Coturnix japonica: one gene and its partners. The protein of the gene in region 1 interacts with the protein of each later gene in a biochemical or structural test. Links are inferred from orthologs where the notes say so. Each region holds a gene or a part of one and is shown in the gene's direction. Other genes may lie near its edges.

Region 1 (4,417 bases):
ATTTAGGATGAATAAGAGGAAGAAATTCTTTACTGTGAGGGTGGTGAGATGCTGGAACAGGTTGTGGAGCAGGTTGTGGGGGGGTTGTGGGTGCCCCCTCCCTGGAAGCATTCAAGGCCAGGCTGGATGGGGCTGTGAGCAGCCTGGTTTAAAGGCAGGTGTCCCTCCCTATAGCAGGGGGGCCGTGTGCCGGCCGCAAAGGACCACTCACCCTCCGGCGAACAGGTGCAGTAGGGTGCTATGCTGTGCCATGGCACGGCGCTCCGTCGGAAGGCTCCGCTGCTCTGCGGGCATGGTTGGGATCCGTCACCGGCAGCCCGAGGGAGAGGCCTGGCCCGCCCGCCCTACACTCGCATTGGCTCCCCGGGCGGAGGCGGGCAGCCCGGAAGGCCGCATGTGGGGCGGGACGATGGGGCTGGGGTTGCTCCGGATCCCTGTGCTAAGCTACACCCACGGCTCGTGGGCTGTGGGCGGTAGGGCTGTGTGTGCTGCTGATGCTTGTAACTGTGGGCCGAATCCAGGTGTCCTGGATCCCACCCCTTGCAACAGTGATATACGTTACCCACTGTAGAATAACATCACAATGACACAAGAGCCAGGCTGGCAGATGTCTGTACAGGAGGTATCCTTGGGGTATTTCAGCCACCAGTGAGCCACAGAACCAAAGGAAGATGTAATCTAAAGTGAAGCTCCACAAACGTCATTGGTGTGGGTCCAATGACCCACACGTCCAGGGATAGGGAGGTGATTGTCCCTCTCTACTCGGCTCTTGTGAGGCCCCATCTGGAGTACTGTGTCCAGGTGTGGAGCCCTCAGTACAAAAAAGATATGGAGATTTTGGAAAGGGTCCAGAGGAGGGACACGAAGATGATCAGGGGGCTGGAGCACCTCCCCTATGAGGACAGGCTGAGGGAGCTGGGTTTGTTCAGCCTAGAGAAGAGAAGGTTGCGGGGTGACCTCATTGCAGCCTTTCAATACCTGAAGGGAACTTACTCCCAGGAGGGGAGTAAACTCTTGGAAAGGGCTGACAATAGCAGGACACGGGGAAATGGTTTTAAGTTAAAAGAGGGAAGATTTAGGTTGGATGTTAGGGGGAAGTTCTTCACTAGGAGAGTGGTTAGGCCCTGGAACAGGCTGCCCAGGGAGGTTGTGGATGCCCCGTCCTTGGAGGTGTTCAAGACCAGGTTGGACGGGGCCCTGGGCAACCTGATCTAGTAAAGGTGTATGTTTGGTGGCCCTGCCAGGCAGGGGGGTTGGAACTACATGATCCTTGAGGTCCCTTCCAACCCGGGTCATTCTGTGTGATTCTGTGGGTGCCGGATTTGACGAGGTGCCTGTTCCTTTAAGAGCTGTCCCCGCCCCCCGCCCAGCCCCGCGACCCAGAGTCTCCAGGTACGGGGTGGGCTGTGGGGGAGGGCTCCCGTGACTTGGCGTGGCCCACCCGGCGGCTTTGCGGGGTAGTGGGGGGGGGCTTGCGGTGCTACCGTCGCTGTGGGGCTGGGGCCGGCGCCCAGCGGGCCAGACCGTGGTGTGCGGCCTGGTTGTCTGGCCGGTTTGTGGGGTAAATCCGGGTGAGGCTGGGGCAGGGGAGGTGGAGTGAAGGCAGCCAGACGAACGTCCCGGTGCTCAGGCGGGTTCCGGCTCGGGGCGCAGGCTGCCGGGGTGGGTGTCTGAGCGCTCCGCCTGACGTGGGCCCGGTGTCGCCCCGGGGCCAGGTGCTGCCCGCAGGGGTCTGGCGCTGCCCGTGCCTCTCGCCATGGCTATGAGGGAGCTGGTGGAGCCGGAGTGCGGGGGCTCCAACCCCCTGCTGAAGCTGGCCGGCCACTTCACCCAGGACAAGGCCTTGCGGCAGGAAGGGCTCCAGGGATCCCTCGGTTGGCCGCCGGGCGCGGCGGGGGCCGCTGCTGTGAGTGTCGAGGGGCGCTTCGATCGCTGAGGGCAACGGGGGGTGGGCTGCTTTGCGTGGGAAAGGGGCTGTGGGGCTGTCCGGGCTGTCAGCAGGGTGGTGGGCCTTGGTCTTGCTCGTAGTGGCTGAGTCTGGGGGTGCTGGCAGGATGGTAGCAGCCGTGGGGGGGTCGCATGCCTTGCTAATGCAGTGGCTAACCCATAGGGGGTGGTGGGAAGATGTTCCTGCACCTATAGCTGGGACACGTGCAGGCAGCTAATGCAATGGTCAGCCTGACCTGAAGGGAGAAAAGGATGTGAGCCAATTGGGGTGCTGTGTGGGTAGCCCAAGCTGTTGAGGTGACTGCTCACTGTTACTTCTAGGTATCCAAGCCATTGGGAGTAGCCTCAGAAGATGAGGTAAGAACAAATGGATGCATGTCCTTATTACCTTTCTCTTCAGTGCTTAGTTTGCTGTTTGTCCCTGTGTCTGATTTTACTCTTCTGTTGAGTCTGTTTCTTTCTCCCTCTCTGTGGCTCTACCTGTTTGTCTCCCATGCTTTAGATGATGAATGTCAATCTCTCACTGTCTTTGACAGCTGGTCGGAGAGTTCCTGCAAGGGCAGAATGCCCCGTTACTGTCCCATGCACCCCAGACCTTTAAGATGGATGACCTGTTGGCTGAGATGCAAGAGATTGAACAGTCGAGCTTCCGTCAGGCTCCTCAGCGAGGTGAGGGGAGCTGGAGTAAGTGGATGCTGGGAAAGGTCTTGGTGCTGTGGTTAAACTCTTAATGGGGTGGTTCCCTCTGTTATGAGGTTATGTGGAGCAGTGTTTCCAGCTTTGGACTTCCCAGTATGCTGACACACTGTAGTAGATGCTTAGGGATTCTGGGGAATCTCCAGACCTTGAGAAGTTTAGAAGCTACTTGATCAATACCCTGAGCCATCAGATCTAATTTTGGTGTCATTTTTTTTTCTTCTTATAAGAACACTTGCAGCCTTCAGAGATTCCTTCTAAATAGAATCTTCTGGTGATTTTATTCTAATGAACAGAAAGGACCTGCTCAGAGATGACGATGGCTACCTGAAGATTCCTTTGAGTCCTCTCGCATTCACTTGTGTTTTTCTTCTAGCTCCAGGTGTGGCAGCCCTTGCACTGTCTGAAAACTGGACCCAGGAGTTCTTGGCTGCAGCAGATACTGCTGGAGATGTCTCTTCAGATTACAATGAGGCTGACTGGTCACAGGAATTCATTGCTGAAGTGACAGGTGAAGTGTCCCCTTTGGAGTTATTGTTGGGATGTCGCCCGGTCACATGCATGCATGCAGTTTATTTAGTGAGTTTAAAACTGAAGTAATGCTTTTAGGTGGTAGTTAATCTGAAAAGCCATCTTGCATTGCGTATGGAGCTGTGTGCTGAATATAGTCCTTTGACCATCTAGCACCTAACCTGGAAACGATGTGTCAGATTTAACTAGATCCTGTTCTGTTCCCCAGGGGTGGTCACTGTAGAAAGCCAGGCAGTTCCATTCATTGATCAGCAGTCTTGATACTGATTTTGACAGAGACTTGTAACGCATTGCTGATTTCCTTGACCTACATAGTATCCCTCATGGAGCAGGTGTTTAAATAATGAAGTGGAAGTAGAAAGTAAAGATGTTGCCAACACAGAGGCATTTGTATTAACACTCTGTCTGAGCCTAAGGCTTGATTATTGTTTTTTTTTGTTCAGGACGCAGTTAAAAGAAACAGGTATTAACATTCTTTCTTTGAAAAGGTCTTTACTGCATGTGTTAGATAACAGTATGTAAAACGATGAAAGCAAAATCTGAAGTTAATCTTAGTGATGTTACGCTTATCTCACTCTTTCCCTGTCCTAATGTCCATTGCAGATCCACTGTCTGTGTCTCCTGCCAAGTGGGCAGAAGAATACCTTGAGCAGTCAGAGGAGAAACTGTGGCTTGGGGAATCAGAAGACCAGTCGCTGTCAGATAAATGGTGAGTCTCTAGTCTCAAGACCAGTTATTGCTGCTAGGCTTCTGCATGGGTGAAGGCTGGACAGATGGTAGAGAAATATCTTGAATGGTTTTGAATCACTTATCTAGACATATGTTCTCAGATCTTAGTTTTAGAAGAAGGGAGAAAATGATGATTAAGAGATCGCTGTTTTCCTAGATTCTGGTTCCTGGAAATGCTGTGATCCTGTAGACTGATATAATCGAATAGGCACTGAAAAGCTCCTTAATGTGATTTCAGGAGTTATTGCAGTGACTTGTACTCAAGTAGAATTTGTTTTCTGCTCTTCAATAGATGCTTTTTGAGTTTTAGTCTTAAGTGCTTGATCCAGTAGTTTTAAACGTTCCTGTATGAGGCTGTGATTGGTGGGGCTGAAACTTGGGATTCTTCGTAACATTTGTGCCAGTCTTTTGCAGGTTTAACCTAGTAGTAACTGTGAATTTTTACAGATGACTTATTCATCTGAATCACTTTGAACTCCAGAGTCTTAGGAGGGATTGTGTCCCTCAACACTTG
Region 2 (4,448 bases), on another chromosome or scaffold:
AGAAAAATCAAACCTAGAAAGCTGACACCTCGAATGGGAAAGTATTGCTTTCTTAAGCTGTCTGACAAATTAATACGACTGCAAAGAGATCTGGACACAAAAACAGCTCTTCCAAAGAAGTGACTAGCCTAGGTTTATGAACAATCAGAAGTAATGGCGAATTGCTTCCCCATTTAGTGACAGATAAACTCCTCCTGCATTCCTGTCTGACATAGGCTTGGATAGCTCTCAAGTGCTTGTTGCGGGGAAGAAAGGACCCAGCCATGAGCCTGGATGATGGCCCTCTAGTTACTCGTATCGCCTTCTAATGTTTCACTTGGGAGAAAGATGACTTGCTCTGGATGGAAAAAAAGAGCATCACAGGGCAGTTCTTACAAAGGTTCTCTCCGTGGTTTCATTGCCAGTGATGAGAAAGAAAAGCAGTTTTCACTGAGGTAGTTGTGAATGTAGCAAAAGAACTGAAGATAAATAAACATTCTCTGATGAGTATTTTCAACGAGGCTTTTAGATACGGAAATCAGTATTGCCAGTACCTTTCTGATATTAAGAGATTTCTTCCCTGTCTTATACAATTCTCTGTTCTTCTCAGAACTTTGAGAGAAAATCAAGCTGTGCTATTGTTCTGGCAAAATTATTCCTTGTTCTTTTTATCACTGAAGGAAAAAGGTCAGTGATCGTGTGTGTGCACTAGATCATGTCTTTACTTGCATGGTTTCAGAGCAGCTCCACAGGGAGGTGAGGCAGGTGCTGTGCATAGTCTGTGCTATGTTTGCTCTCCTGCTGTGCTCCCAGGCCCCTTGGGGGCTTCCTGCTCTGTGCTGAAGCTGTAGGGAAAAGGCTGCTGCCAGGAGGATTCATGGCAAATGCTGCTCTAGGAGGATGGAGGGGAACTGCACTGCTGACCCTCTGAGTTCAGGCTGATAGTTGTCAGCTGAAATGCCACAGCAACACCATGTGCCCTGCAGTACAACACCCTGCTGTACAATGTTATCAGGACCCTGGGGATCCTGCAGGCAGGTGTGCTTCTGGCTAAGTTGTGTTTTCCTGATGACAGTGCAAATGCTTGCAGGCTTGGCTGGCTGGCTTGTTCTTATTGACCATGCTGACTGAGGTGCCATGTGCATTATCACCACTCTGACTGCCTGCTGGAATCTTACAGCGAGCTCGGGGCAACTTCAGAAACATCCAGTGTGCAGCTAATTGCTAGTAAGGGAGGTAAAGTGGCATCGAGGAGCCTGGGAGCCTCCTATCTGTGCAAGCCAAGTTCTGGCAGCCGGAGAGTGGGGCTCAGCTGTGCCTGGGCTCAGAGCCAGTGCTGGGCCGGACACACACAGCCTGCGGCAGCAGTGGGGCTGGGGCAGCTCTCAGGGCCCACTCAGCCTCTCTTCTCCAGGTACTTCCTCTCCCTCTCCCTCTCTTGCTGTTTTGGTTTGTTTTTTGTTAGCTGAAATGGTGCTCAGTGGGGAGGGGAGGGAGGCAGCAGCCTGCTCAGGCAGCAGCAGGGCCACAGGGCTGCACTGCAGGCCTCAGGGGCTCTCAGAGGTGGGATTGCACTTGGGTATGTCAGGAGATGGGTGAAACAGAATCTGCCTGTGCTGCAGGGAAACAAAACCGATGGCTTTCCTCCGGTCTGGCCATTTGTTCTGGCCACAGAGGAGTAGGAGGGTGGCAGGGGCACTGTGTCTGCTGGCTGGCCATGCTGGGTAAAAATAGCCTGTCCTCATGAGCCCTCCCAGGTGCATGAAGGCAGGAGTGCGAGTAATCATCTGCTCATTGCATCAGCAGCTTTGCTGGGGCCAGGCTGTGCTTGCTGCTGGGACTAGAGTGGCCTTTAGCCTCTGCTTTGCACTCAGTTTTTGGCACATTAGCACATTAAGGCCTGATGTGCTCCTGTCTCACAGCAGTCAGTGCTGGAACAACAGCGTGACAACTGTCCATCGTGGCTGGGCTCCTGTGGGCTCCAGCAGCACCGGCAGCCCCTTCCTGCTCACACTCCTGACAGCTTTTGCAGTGCTGGGATCAGCCGACATTGAACCAGCTCGCCTGAGGAAATCCCATCTGAACCAGGGAGGTTTGCAGTGAAATCCAAACCGCTACTGAGCTGCAGTTCCCTTTTCTTCCCCAGCTGCAGAGAGGTCAGTTGGGAAATTCAATCCCCATCTTAGTCCTGGCCTTAGGGTGCTGGAAGGGCTGAGGGGTGTGGCTTGTGTTCAGAGCAGAATTTCTTCAGACTGGGTTTATGGTGACAGCAAAGTGGGTTGTTAGTGCTGGTTCAGGGTTCACCTTTACTCCTGAGCTGTGTTCTCTTTCCTTGCTGTGTGGGCATTTTTGTGGTTGCCTTGTGAAAGAAGTTGTAATAATTGACAGGAAAAGAGTTAAGCATCATCCCAGAACAGGAGGGGAAGTTGCAACAACCCTGGGCTGTGGTGCAGAAAGAATGCAATGATAAGCAGCAGTGCTTATCCCCCCCTCCCTTATCACACAGCAGGGACATGGCTTAATGGGCATGATGGTGAATGGTGATAAGTTGGCGGTTGGACTAGATGATTTTAGTGGTCTTTTCCAACCTTCATGATTCTACAATTCTATGACATCAAACTTCATGTAATTCTGCTGGGAAAGTGAGCAGCTATGAAGTGTTGTGAGAAAGGACCTTGTAAATATATGTAAACTCACACAGTTGGTCTTATCCAGACTATTATCAAATATGTCAAAGGCCAAGGAATAAAAGCTTAATAATAATGTACTGCATTCATTAAAGATAAATCTGAAGGATTTATTATGTCTTCCTCTGTCCAGTCTGCTCTGGGCTTATTTATTCCCTGGCTTTAGGGAGTCTGCAGATGCTGATGTCCAAACAGTACTGTTCCTTTTTGGTGGCTGAGGGGCCAGTTTTCCCAGAACTCCAAGGGGCACTACAGTACTCCTGACCCCACAGGAAGATTGATGGATACCTCACTCCCTGGGAGTCACTGAAAAAGCCTTACCACAGATTATTACACCAGTGCCCTATGCACCAACTTCTCTCTTGCTCTGTGCTGTGGATGAGGCAGGAACTGTCTGAGTTGGGACATTTCTCAAACATGGGTTGTCGTGCTGGGGTATTGTGATGCTCACCCTCACCTTTGTGCAGTGGCAAGTCTTCATTTAGCTGCCAGAGGTTATGTTGTGTCCTGTGCAGGTGTTTAAGAGGTGAGGATGCTGTCCAGCAGGATGCTGTGCACACTGCAGCTGGGACATGTTACCTATATACCATCTCAAATGCCCATAGGTGCCTGTCTCCACCAGTCCCTACCCCACAGATGGCAGCCCCCAGGGTGGCAGTGGTGGGAGCAGGGCTCATCGGACTGTCCACAGCGTTACGTATTGCTGAGGTGAACCCGAACTGCTGCTCCATCACCCTCCTTTCAGAGCAGTTCAGCCCCAACACGACGAGCGACGTGGCAGCTGGCATGCTCATCCCTCACACCTACCCAGGTGCGTGTGAGCTGGTGTGCCAGCATTTTGAGAAAAGTACCTTTTCTTTCACTCCCACCTGTCCTGTCTTCTTGCTGCCGCCTTTATACTTCTCCTATTTGTGTTTTCACCCTCGTGTGTTTGATTGTATTTGAGTGCAGACACACCAATCCACGTGCAGAAGCAGTGGTTCAAAGAGACCTTCACCTACCTTTTTGCTATCTGCAACTCAGCCGAGGCGTCAGAAGCTGGCATTCACCTGGTCTCTGGGTAAGAGCAGCCAAAGGGCAGCATTTGGCAGACATCTACTGTGTGCTGCAGCAGGTAGAGGTTTTTCTTTCTGAAGCTCAGCTTCATGCCTCTCATGGGGTAGCTGTCATGACCATATTCCCAAGAAGCTGCACTGCAGCTGCTCCACTAGGATATATTCTCAAGCAGAGTTCATGCACTGGTATGCATAGAGAAACCATGTGATACTAGCCTGCCCCAAACTATTTTTTATAATGGATATTTTATGTGTTATCACTAGCTGGTTGCTTGCAGCAGAGGTGATCACAGGAGGGGTAGGACTGCAGGATGCTCTGGCTTCAGCAAGTTGGTGTAGGAATGCAATGGGTGTAATCATAGTATTTTCTTCAGTTCTTGGCATCTGACAATTTTTAATCTGGACACTGAGCCTCTCTCTGGTTGATCCGCCCCAGGGTATAACACTCAGACCTTCTGCCTGTGTGCCAGGACATGCTGCAGAAGTGATTGCCCTTTGCAGAGCTGTGTAGTTCAAATAGGAACAGACTGCTGAATCCTTGGGTTTGTGCTAAGATTGCAGCAATGGGGCATAGCACTAGCAGCTATGTTTTGCAGCTTATTTTTCTTGTGTTCTTTCAGCTGGCAGATCTTTAAAAACCCTTCCGAAGCTGAGGTGCCTTTCTGGTCTGACGTTGTCCTGGGGTTTCGACCAATGTCTGCAGCAGAAATGCAGAAGTTCCCACAGC
Region 3 (4,408 bases), on another chromosome or scaffold:
GATGGAGGGCAGCGCGGGTGCGGGGCTGGGGGAGGAGGACAAAGGGGTGGCCGAGCTCCGTGCCAGCCGCCCCCTCCCACCGGCCGAAGCCGCCGGCGCAGCCCGAGGGGACGCGGCGGCCGCCCCAAGGTCAGCGGTGCCACGCGCGGATCTCCGCCGCCGTTCACCCCGAAGCGGAACGATGACGGCGCACGAGCCCGCAGCGCTGCACCTGCCGCCCCCGGGGCATCGCCTCCCCCCGACAGATGCTTCTGGAAGCCGCGGCGGCTCCGTGCCCGCCGTGCCCGCCGTGCCCCCCATCCCCGTCCCCGCACGGTGCCGGGCAGCCCCCGCTGCCCCTCTGCGCCCCGATGGGGCGGCGGCCCCGAGCTCCTCCCGGACGGGTCCCGCGCGATGCCGGTGCCGCCGCCCCTACCTGTGCCCGTGGGCGGCGGGGCGCTGCGCTCAGCCTCTCAGCACCGGCATGGGGCCGGCACCGCTGGTGATGCCGGTACCGCCGCTGGTGATGCCGGTACCGCCGCTGGTGATGCCGGTACCGCCGCCGATGCCGGTGTCGGTGCGGGCGGTGTCGGCCCCTCCCCTGCGGTGCCGCCCTGCCCCTCCCCACCCCCTCGGTCCCATTGGCCAACGCCGGTTACGTCACCGCATCCCACCCCACCATCCCCGCCACCCCCGGCCCCGCGATGCGGATCCGCCGCAAGGGTGCGGGGAGAGGCGGGACCTGCGGCACCACGGCAACCGGCACCACGGCAACCGGCACCACGGCAACCGGCCCCTCTCCCATCTCTCGGAGCCTCCGCCCGTGCTGCTGCCCGCCCAGCAATTCATATACCTGTCCCAGCCATGGCCGCTGCTTCTCCACGAGTGTGCTGTGGGATAGAGCCGCAGGCTCTGCTGCAGTCTATGTAGGTTATTACATCCACAGCCCTTCCATCATCCACCAGCTGGGTCAGCCGGTCATAGATCAGGTTGGTCAGACAGGACCTGCCTGCCATGAAGCTGTGCTGGCTGGGCCTGATCCCCCAGTTGTCCTACACATGCCATGTGATCTCACTCAAGATGATCTGCTCCATTAACTTCCCTGGCACCGAGGTCAAGCAGACACATCTGTAGCTCCCCGGATCCTCCTTATGACCCTTCTAGAAGGTGGGTGTCACATTAGCAATCTCCAGTCACCTGCACCTCCCCAGCTGACCAGGACCACTGACAGATGATGGAAAGCAGCTCAGCAATCACTTCACCCTCTCAGCACCCCCAGCTGGGTCCCAATGGCCCCATGGACTTGGCTCAGCCCAGGTGAGGCAGGAGGTTGCTGTTTCCTCCTACACATGGCATTTTGTTCTGCCCCCACTCCTACCTTCCAACACAGGGAGCTGAATACCTTGAGGTTTACTGGCCTGACTGTTGTAAAGAAAGCACTGAGAACCTCAGTGACAACATTCCCCGTCACGGCTGACGGAGCCCGGTGTGGGGCACTGCATCCCCCGGCCACCCCACGAGAACAGTGCTGAGTACACTGCACTGCTGGTGGCACATTAACTGGATGGGAGGTGGCGGGGGCAGAGTCCGGCGGTCATTGTCCGTGTGGCCGTGGGCAGGGGATGCACCGCACCACAGCACTGCCGATATCCATAGCAGCTCTCCTGCGGGCTTGCAGCACAGCTGCCTGTGCCATGGCTGCTCCCACACCCCATATCCCCCCGCCCCGTGAGCTGCTGCGGCCACTGGCCGTGCCCTACCGGCTGCTGCTGGGGCCGGGGCCCAGCAACCTGTCCCCCCGAGTGCGGGCAGCCGGCAGCCAGCAGATCGTGGGCCACATGCATCCCGAGGTGCTGCAGGTGAGTTGGCTCTGCCCCAGCAGCCCACACCCCCTGTGTTACTGGGCTGACGGCGGTGCTGGTCCTTATCTCAGGTGATGGAAGAGATCAAGGCGGGCATCCAGTACGCCTTCCAGACGCGGAACCGGATCACGTTGGCTGTCAGCGGCACCGGGCACTGCGCCATGGAGGCTGCCCTTATCAACCTGCTGGAGAGCAGTGACACCGTGCTGGTGGGCAACAACGGCATCTGGGGAGAGCGTGCTGCTGACGTCGCCAGGAGGCTGGGTATGGCTGCTTGTATGTGAGCTGACAGCCTGAGCCATGCAGAGAGCTCAGGTTTTGTGGGGTGACACCCTCAGGGCAGTTTGTGTCAGGCACCCGATTAATGTGTGCCCAAAACTCCACATCCCTCTGTACATTTCCCCCCAGGAGCCAAGGTCCATGAGCTGCTGAAGCCTCCGGGTGAATACTTCACCTTGAGGGACATTCAGGAGGTATGTGCCACCTGTGGGGCACCGGGACTGAGCCCCACACAGGTTCTCACTGTGCTGTTCTCACCCAGGGCTTGGCACAGCACAAACCCTCAGTGCTCTTCCTCACTCACGGCGAGTCTTCCACGGGGGTCCGGCAGCCACTGGAGGGGCTGGGCGAGCTGTGCCACCGGTCAGTGCTCCTGGGGACCCCAGCAGGGCTGGGCTGCAGGGGGCTGTGGGGCTGAGCTCTGGTCCCCCTCCAGGCACGGCTGCCTGCTGCTTGTGGATGCGGTGGCATCGCTCGGGGGAGTGCCCATCCTCATGGACCAGCAGGGTGAGAGCCGCGGTGCTAGCGAGGAACAGGGGTCCCTGAGTGCCCCCACACCAGCACCTGTGGTGTGTGCCCTGCGTTTCCCACTGGCAGTGGGGCAGAGTCCTGCTCAGAGCCCTTGGTCCCTCTCATGCAGGGATTGATGTACTATACACGGGGTCCCAGAAAGTCCTCAGTGCCCCCCCTGGCATCTCTCCTATCTCATTCAGTGAGCGAGCAAGGTAAGGACTGCCCCGTCCCAGCAGGGCTGGGGGCACAGGTAGGAGGACCCCCCTCCTTGGCCACATCCCCTGGCTGCAATGCCAACCCAGTGCTCACTTCAGGCTCTGTGCTCCAGGGCAAGCAGTGGGTAGAGGGGCTCTCCCTTCCATGGGGCAGCGCTCAAGTGCTGTGTTCTGCCAGGGAGAAGATGCAGAGGAGGAAGACGAGGCCCCCATCCTTCTACCTGGACATGAGCTGTCTGGCGAGCTACTGGGGCTGCGATGGAGAGCCACGCATGTGAGGGCGGGCTGTACCCAGACAGGAAGCTGTGGCTGCCCCACCACATTCCAAACCCTAGCCCTAAATCTAGCCTAAATCCAAAGCCCCCCATCTTATCCAGTTGCTCTGCTCTATTTGCATTTCTTCTCCTTGCCCCCAAAACAGCCCCTTTGTCCCAGCTTTGCATCCCTGCCCAGGTCCCCTCCCCAGAGACTCTGCCACTGCTCCCCACTTCTCCCTACCTCTCCCACATGCCTGCCCCAGGGGCTTGCAGCAGCTGAGCCTGCCTTGGGGCTCCCTGGATTTTGCAGGTACCACCACACAGGGCCCGTCAGCAGCATCTTCTGCCTGCGGGAGGCCTTGGCCGGGCTGGCGGAGCTGGTGAGCTGGGCATAGGGACAGCTGATCTGGGCCACACCTGTGTTATAGCAGGGTTTGGGGAGCAGAGTGTGGTCAGCTGTCGGTGGTGGCATGGGACATTCAGGCAGGGGACATTTATTCTTTGCTGCCAGGGCCTGGAGAGCTCATGGAAGCAGCACCAAGCTGTCTGCACCCGCCTGTGCCAGGGGCTGCAGGATCTGGGGCTGGAGCTCTTCGTGAAGGAGGAGGTGCAGGATGTGGGCACAGACCCACACAGCTCAGAGCTTCCCTGGTGCTGGAGAGGAGCCCTGGTTCAGGGAAGCAGAAGGGATGTGTGGCTCTAACCCTGTGCCTTTCCTCCCCAGGCGGCACGGTTGCCCACCGTCACCACCGTCAGGGTGCCTGAAGGCTACAACTGGAAGGAGATCACAGCCTTCCTGATGGATAAACACAGCATTGAGATCTCTGGGGGCCTGGGCCCTACTGCAGGCAAGGTGAGCGGCATGCTCCCCATCTCTGAGCCCACACAGCTGCAGACACTGGCAGTGCACCATGCAACTAGCACAGGGCTGTGCAGCCCCCGCTGCCTGAAGCAACATTCCTTGCCACACAGAGTAGCTGCACACGTGATTAGTTAGTAGGGTAACATATCTTTATCATGACAGAGAGGAAATGAGGGTTAAATAGGAACAGACTGGGATGCACACACGTATATACAGCTTGTTGTGTGCCCCACATGGGGCCCAAAGGTGGGGGCTGCAGGGGAAACCCGCCCTTCTCCTCCAGGTGCTGCGGATCGGCCTCATGGGGCACAACGCGACCCAGGACAACGTGGACCGCCTGCTGCAGGCCCTGCGAGACGCCCTGCAGCACTGCCAGCACAGCAGGCTGTGAGCAGATGCCCACAGGGAGCAGCACATCGGCAGGACATGGCACAGATGTGG
Region 4 (4,468 bases), on another chromosome or scaffold:
GACTCAATAACTAGAAAAGAGCTTACTGCATTCCCCAGCGTTTTAAGCTGTTTATCCTTAAGCCTAAAGGAACAGCTCACAGTCTACTTTCTGTGATAGAAAGGCTCATTTTGCAATGTTTTATTATTGTTGTTGTTGTTGTTGTTGTTGTTGTTGTTGTTGTTGTTGTTATTATTATTAATGCCTGCAGTATTCTCTTGCTGATAACAGATTCTTTAAGGATTTGTGTATGTAGAAGTGCTTGCCACCAGCTCAGCTCATGCCTAAACTGGCTGTCAGACAAGCAAGCTGAGGGAATGACGTGCATGTGTCTATGGCAGAACAGAGATCAGTGCTCTGAAAAGGAGGAGAACTGGATGCAGGGATCCAGTCAGCATCTTGACCGCATGTTCCAATGCCAATAAGGTGCGTAGGGTGATGAGCTGAGCTCGAAGAAGTGACTGCAGTATAAACAGAGCCTATACTTTGCATACTGAGAGGGTGGGGAATCAATTCATTGAAGTGATGCTTTGTGAGCAAAATACTCGCAGTGGAGGGCTGTTGGTGGAGCACGGCTGCCATCTAACGGGGCGTTGTGGCTACACGGGCTTTGTGCTAGACAGGGGGGTTGGAACTACATGATCCTTGAGGTCCCTTCCAACCCGGGTCATTCTGTGATTCTGTGATTCTGTGTTGGGAGGAGCCGGCCGGTAGCACAGCTGGTTTCTATGCTGCTATGAAACGCTACTGTTACCGGCTGTCCTTTGTCCCTCTGGGATTTACTCACATGCCCTGGACCCTAGGCGGAAATACTCGCGTTTCCCTACTCTCTCTGCTCGTAAAATAGCTTTTCAGAATCACAGAATTATCAAGGTTGGAAAACACCTAGAAAATCATCTAGTCCAACCATTACAAATACTTCCCAGCTAAATCATATTCCTCAACACAACATCCAGACTTTTCTTGAACACTCCCATGGTCGGTGACTCCACCACCTCCCTGGGCAGTGCATTCCAATGCCTGACTGCCCTTTCTGAGAAGTAATACTTCCTAATGTCCAGCCTGAATCTCCCCTGGCACAGCTTTTTTATTATTTATTTATTTATTTATTTATTTATTTATTTATTTCTCTAGTTGTTACCGTATCTTCCTTTCAATCTCGATACACAAATACTTCTGTTAGGAAGTGAAACAAAACGGCTATTTCTAAAGGCCATCGAAGCGTGAATGCACAAGCTTGTCTGTGGGGAAATAAACGGTATGGGGAACTAGTCTTTCTCATAACGTTCTGTCTGCTCCTTGGCCATCGATGTCTACAAACACCCTATTAACACGTCCTCAAAACAAAGCATTCTCCTGTCCCATGGTCAAGAAGGACCTCTGTCGGTGAACCCCGAAACTATGTGCCCGCTATGCTGCCAGCGCCAAAGATGGCGGCACCGCCTCAGCGTGGCGGGCGGGACTCTTCCGACGCAGCTCAGCGGTGCCGCCTCCCAAGCTCGGGCCGGGCCGGGCCGGGGCCATGGGCACGGCGGGCGGCGGCGTGCTGAGGCTGCCGGGGCTGCACGGCTACGCGGCCGAGTTCTCGCCATACTGGCCAGGCCGTGTGGCCTGCGCCGCTGCGCAGTACTACGGCATCGCAGGTGATGTACTTGAGGCAAACGGGCCGACTGATGGTATTTTCTCCCTGTGACATAGTGTAGCGCTGCCCTTGTGTTGGGTGCTCGGCCGGCCCGGTGGGGGTGCAGAACAGGCTGCCTCGGGGTTGGAGGAATTTGCATTTCCACTCTATTTTCACAGAGTGGAAATAAATACAAACAAAAGCTACATCTGCTGTGTTACTGAAGAGGTAGAAAGGAGCTGGTCCTGGTATACCTATAACACAGGGCCAATGCTTGTGTGTGGGGGTGCACTTAGGGCTGACAGTAGCAGGACACGGGGAAATGGTTTTAAGTTGAAAGAGGGAAGATTTAGGTTGGATGTTAGGGGGAAGTTCTTCACTAGGAGAGTGGTTAGGCTCTGGAACAGGCTGCCCAGGGAGGTTGTGGATGCCCCGTCCTTGGAGGTGTTCAAGACCAGGTTGGACAGGGCCCTGGGCAACCTGATCTAGTAAAGGTGTATGTTTGGTGGCCCTGCCAGGCAGGGGGGTTGGAACTACATGATCCTTGAGGTCCCTTCCAACCCGGGTCATTCTGTGATTCTGTGACTTCTGTGCAGGAGGTGCTGCTTTTCCAGCCTCAACCACAGGTGTACTGGGGGAGGAGAACTTGATGTAAATGAAATCCTGTTTTGGAGAGCAGAAGAGGCAACAGGCTGTTGCACAACTAACTGTGTGGCCTCTTAAAGAAGTTTAGCTTCCTTACGCTCACAGGAGCTATCACAGAACTTGTAGGACCTTTGGTGTGAGCAAGGAGTTGTGATGTTTGGTTATACTGTGCTGTTTTAGGTTGTGGAACTCTGGCAGTGCTGGAACAAAATGAAACTGGGATTGTCCTGCTCAGGAGGTAATGCTGTAAATATTCTCTGTTGTGAAAATAAGGTGTAAACCTGTATTGTTGTTTGTAGAAAACCCATCCCGAACATTTTGGTGTATTGTTATCAATGTAAACTGTTGTATCTGTACTATATTGTCTGCTGTACACATATATTTTTATCGAGGTGCAAATGATTGGCTTACATTCCACGTCTCATTACAAAAAGTAATTCAGATGACACCTTTTCCATAGTGTAAGCCGTTTTATGGAAAACTGGCAGTGTAAATTAAAAGCTCTGACCCAGCTTGACATTGGAAGTTTGGTTGTTATTGCAGGTGTCACCTCTGTTTATCCCTTTAAGGTTGGCTTAGATTGAAAATAGAGCAGGAAGCTGGGATAAGTCAAGGAAGTCCTTTCTTGGAGATGGAATGCTCCAAGAGAGGAGTTTGGTCCATGTTCTGGGTGGGAGAAGGGGAGGGGTTAGTGCTTAGCCTCTATTCACCTAATTATGCAAACAACAGTTGTTTAGATTAAGAAGGGAAATGAGATATAAGTATTAAGCAAGAAATTAGAAAAATCTGATAAGCTGTTTTTAATTCATAATTATCCACCTGACTCTCTGAAACTGTTAAACACGCTCTTCATTCTACAAAGTGTTCTGTTCATTTCTGTGTTTCTAGAGACTCCACTTATTCTGTGGTGGAAAGTCCTGTGCTTTCCTGAGCACCGAGCTATGCCATTTTCCCCATAGAAGCTTTCTGTGTGTGTGCCTTTCTCTTCATAATTACTGCAGTGTGCTATGAAGCTTAATCTGAGCTGAGTTAAACCTTCAGTGAGAGGGGGGTAAATAGGTCGTATTTACTATGAGATAACAGTGTGGTTATTAATAGGTGTTGCAGAGCAACCAGCACACGGTACTTGATCCTGGAGGATGAATGGGTGGTGTGCTGAAAGCCCTTTTTAGGAGTTACAGAGATCTTTAATATTTTCATGACTGCTCTTCTCTTGGTTTTTCATTGTCACTCAGATTCTTAATGGTGTTGTGGATTGAATAGAGACCTCCCAACATGGTTTTATTTCTTTGATTACCACAGTTATTGTGGACTGCAGGCTCTGACCACTGTAGCAGCAGCATCCTGGAGAGATGGTAGGTTAGTCTGAGATGTGTAGCACCTCTCATCTGACTTCTCAGCAGTTTAGAACTGAAGTCAGATTCCATTCTCTGTGTCTGAGGTCCTTGGCTCACTTACACTTTAATTGACCTACTCTGACCGTAGTCAACCTATTCTTGTAGAAGTTAACATTGTATCCAGTAAGTTGCTTATGAGGAGATTCACTGGAAACTGAAATGGGTAAATAAGCTGTTCAGAATGGTAAGCAGGTTGATTATAAAAAGCTACTGTCTTTGCACACAGCTAGTCCGGATTTGTGTTATGCTTTCCCATGGACAAATATCTTCATTGTTTCTGTTCAGCTTTGACTGGAATGACGGCCTGTTTGATGTGACATGGAGTGAGAATAATGAGCACGTGTTGATCACTTCTAGCGGGGATGGGTCTCTGCAGATCTGGGATATAGCGAAGCCCAAAGGTCCACTGCAAGTCTATAAGGAGCACACTCAGGAGGTAAATCCAGCAAACTGCAGGAATTTGCTGGACTGTCTAATACTTGAATTACTAAAGGGGATATTTGAGCACTCAAAATCAAAAGTGTTTTCTGTCATCTATTTTTTTTTAACTTTGTTTGGGCCAATGATTTGAATTTAAAGCTTCATGTTATTTTCAGTATAAAGTTAATATATTATACATATTCATTTGCACATTCACACTCGTGTCGTAGGTAACTCTTAGTCTGATAAATGTAATAAATTCAGAAATAGAGTCTGTGGTTCCTTCTAAACTAAGTAACCATTGAGTTGTATGAAAGTCATTCTGTAGCCTTAGAGGACATTGTTGGATAGGCCAAAGTCAGGCAGCTGATGCATATAGCTGAGTTATCCTTGAGGGTACAGAATG

Evidence for each region.
Region 2: the proteins of PEX5 (region 1) and DDO form a complex in vitro, tested with the Homo sapiens proteins (2 studies listed by BioGRID, with this or other methods). The link is inferred for Coturnix japonica from reciprocal best matches to the Homo sapiens genes PEX5 and DDO.
Region 3: the proteins of PEX5 (region 1) and AGXT are reported together in a solved structure, tested with the Homo sapiens proteins (2 studies listed by BioGRID and IntAct, with this or other methods). The link is inferred for Coturnix japonica from reciprocal best matches to the Homo sapiens genes PEX5 and AGXT.
Region 4: the proteins of PEX5 (region 1) and PEX7 form a complex in vitro, tested with the Homo sapiens proteins (3 studies listed by BioGRID). The link is inferred for Coturnix japonica from reciprocal best matches to the Homo sapiens genes PEX5 and PEX7.

Annotation. Positions count from the first base shown.
Region 1 is NC_029516.1:69,672,795-69,677,211, forward strand, and holds the start of PEX5 (peroxisomal biogenesis factor 5), read left to right. Parts: upstream 1-1,309; 5' UTR 1,310-1,392; intron 1,393-1,442; exon of another isoform or gene 1,443-1,561; intron 1,562-1,581; exon of another isoform or gene 1,582-1,715; 5' UTR 1,716-1,756; coding exon 1,757-1,906; intron 1,907-2,268; coding exon 2,269-2,304; intron 2,305-2,483; coding exon 2,484-2,616; intron 2,617-3,019; coding exon 3,020-3,154; intron 3,155-3,777; coding exon 3,778-3,883; intron 3,884-4,417. Other genes in the region: solute carrier family 25 member 36-like, read right to left, coding at 212-294.
Region 2 is NC_029518.1:60,550,724-60,555,171, forward strand, and holds the start of DDO (D-aspartate oxidase), read left to right. Parts: upstream 1-1,555; 5' UTR 1,556-2,135; intron 2,136-3,181; 5' UTR 3,182-3,302; coding exon 3,303-3,477; intron 3,478-3,617; coding exon 3,618-3,726; intron 3,727-4,155; exon of another isoform or gene 4,156-4,263; intron 4,264-4,341; coding exon 4,342-4,448. UniProt on the Homo sapiens protein: Selectively catalyzes the oxidative deamination of acidic amino acids. Suppresses the level of D-aspartate in the brain, an amino acid that can act as an agonist for glutamate receptors. Protects the organism from the toxicity of D-amino acids.
Region 3 is NC_029524.1:3,726,621-3,731,028, forward strand, and holds the start of AGXT (serine--pyruvate aminotransferase), read left to right. Parts: upstream 1-1,561; 5' UTR 1,562-1,601; coding exon 1,602-1,838; intron 1,839-1,912; coding exon 1,913-2,105; intron 2,106-2,249; coding exon 2,250-2,314; intron 2,315-2,382; coding exon 2,383-2,483; intron 2,484-2,556; coding exon 2,557-2,627; intron 2,628-2,760; coding exon 2,761-2,845; intron 2,846-3,026; coding exon 3,027-3,122; intron 3,123-3,415; coding exon 3,416-3,485; intron 3,486-3,616; coding exon 3,617-3,712; intron 3,713-3,829; coding exon 3,830-3,958; intron 3,959-4,250; coding exon 4,251-4,358; 3' UTR 4,359-4,408. UniProt on the Homo sapiens protein: Peroxisomal aminotransferase that catalyzes the transamination of glyoxylate to glycine and contributes to the glyoxylate detoxification.
Region 4 is NC_029518.1:49,693,295-49,697,762, reverse strand, and holds the start of PEX7 (peroxisomal biogenesis factor 7), read left to right. Parts: upstream 1-1,370; 5' UTR 1,371-1,380; coding exon 1,381-1,622; intron 1,623-2,425; coding exon of another isoform or gene 2,426-2,483; intron 2,484-3,927; coding exon 3,928-4,078; intron 4,079-4,468. UniProt on the Homo sapiens protein: Receptor required for the peroxisomal import of proteins containing a C-terminal PTS2-type peroxisomal targeting signal. Specifically binds to cargo proteins containing a PTS2 peroxisomal targeting signal in the cytosol.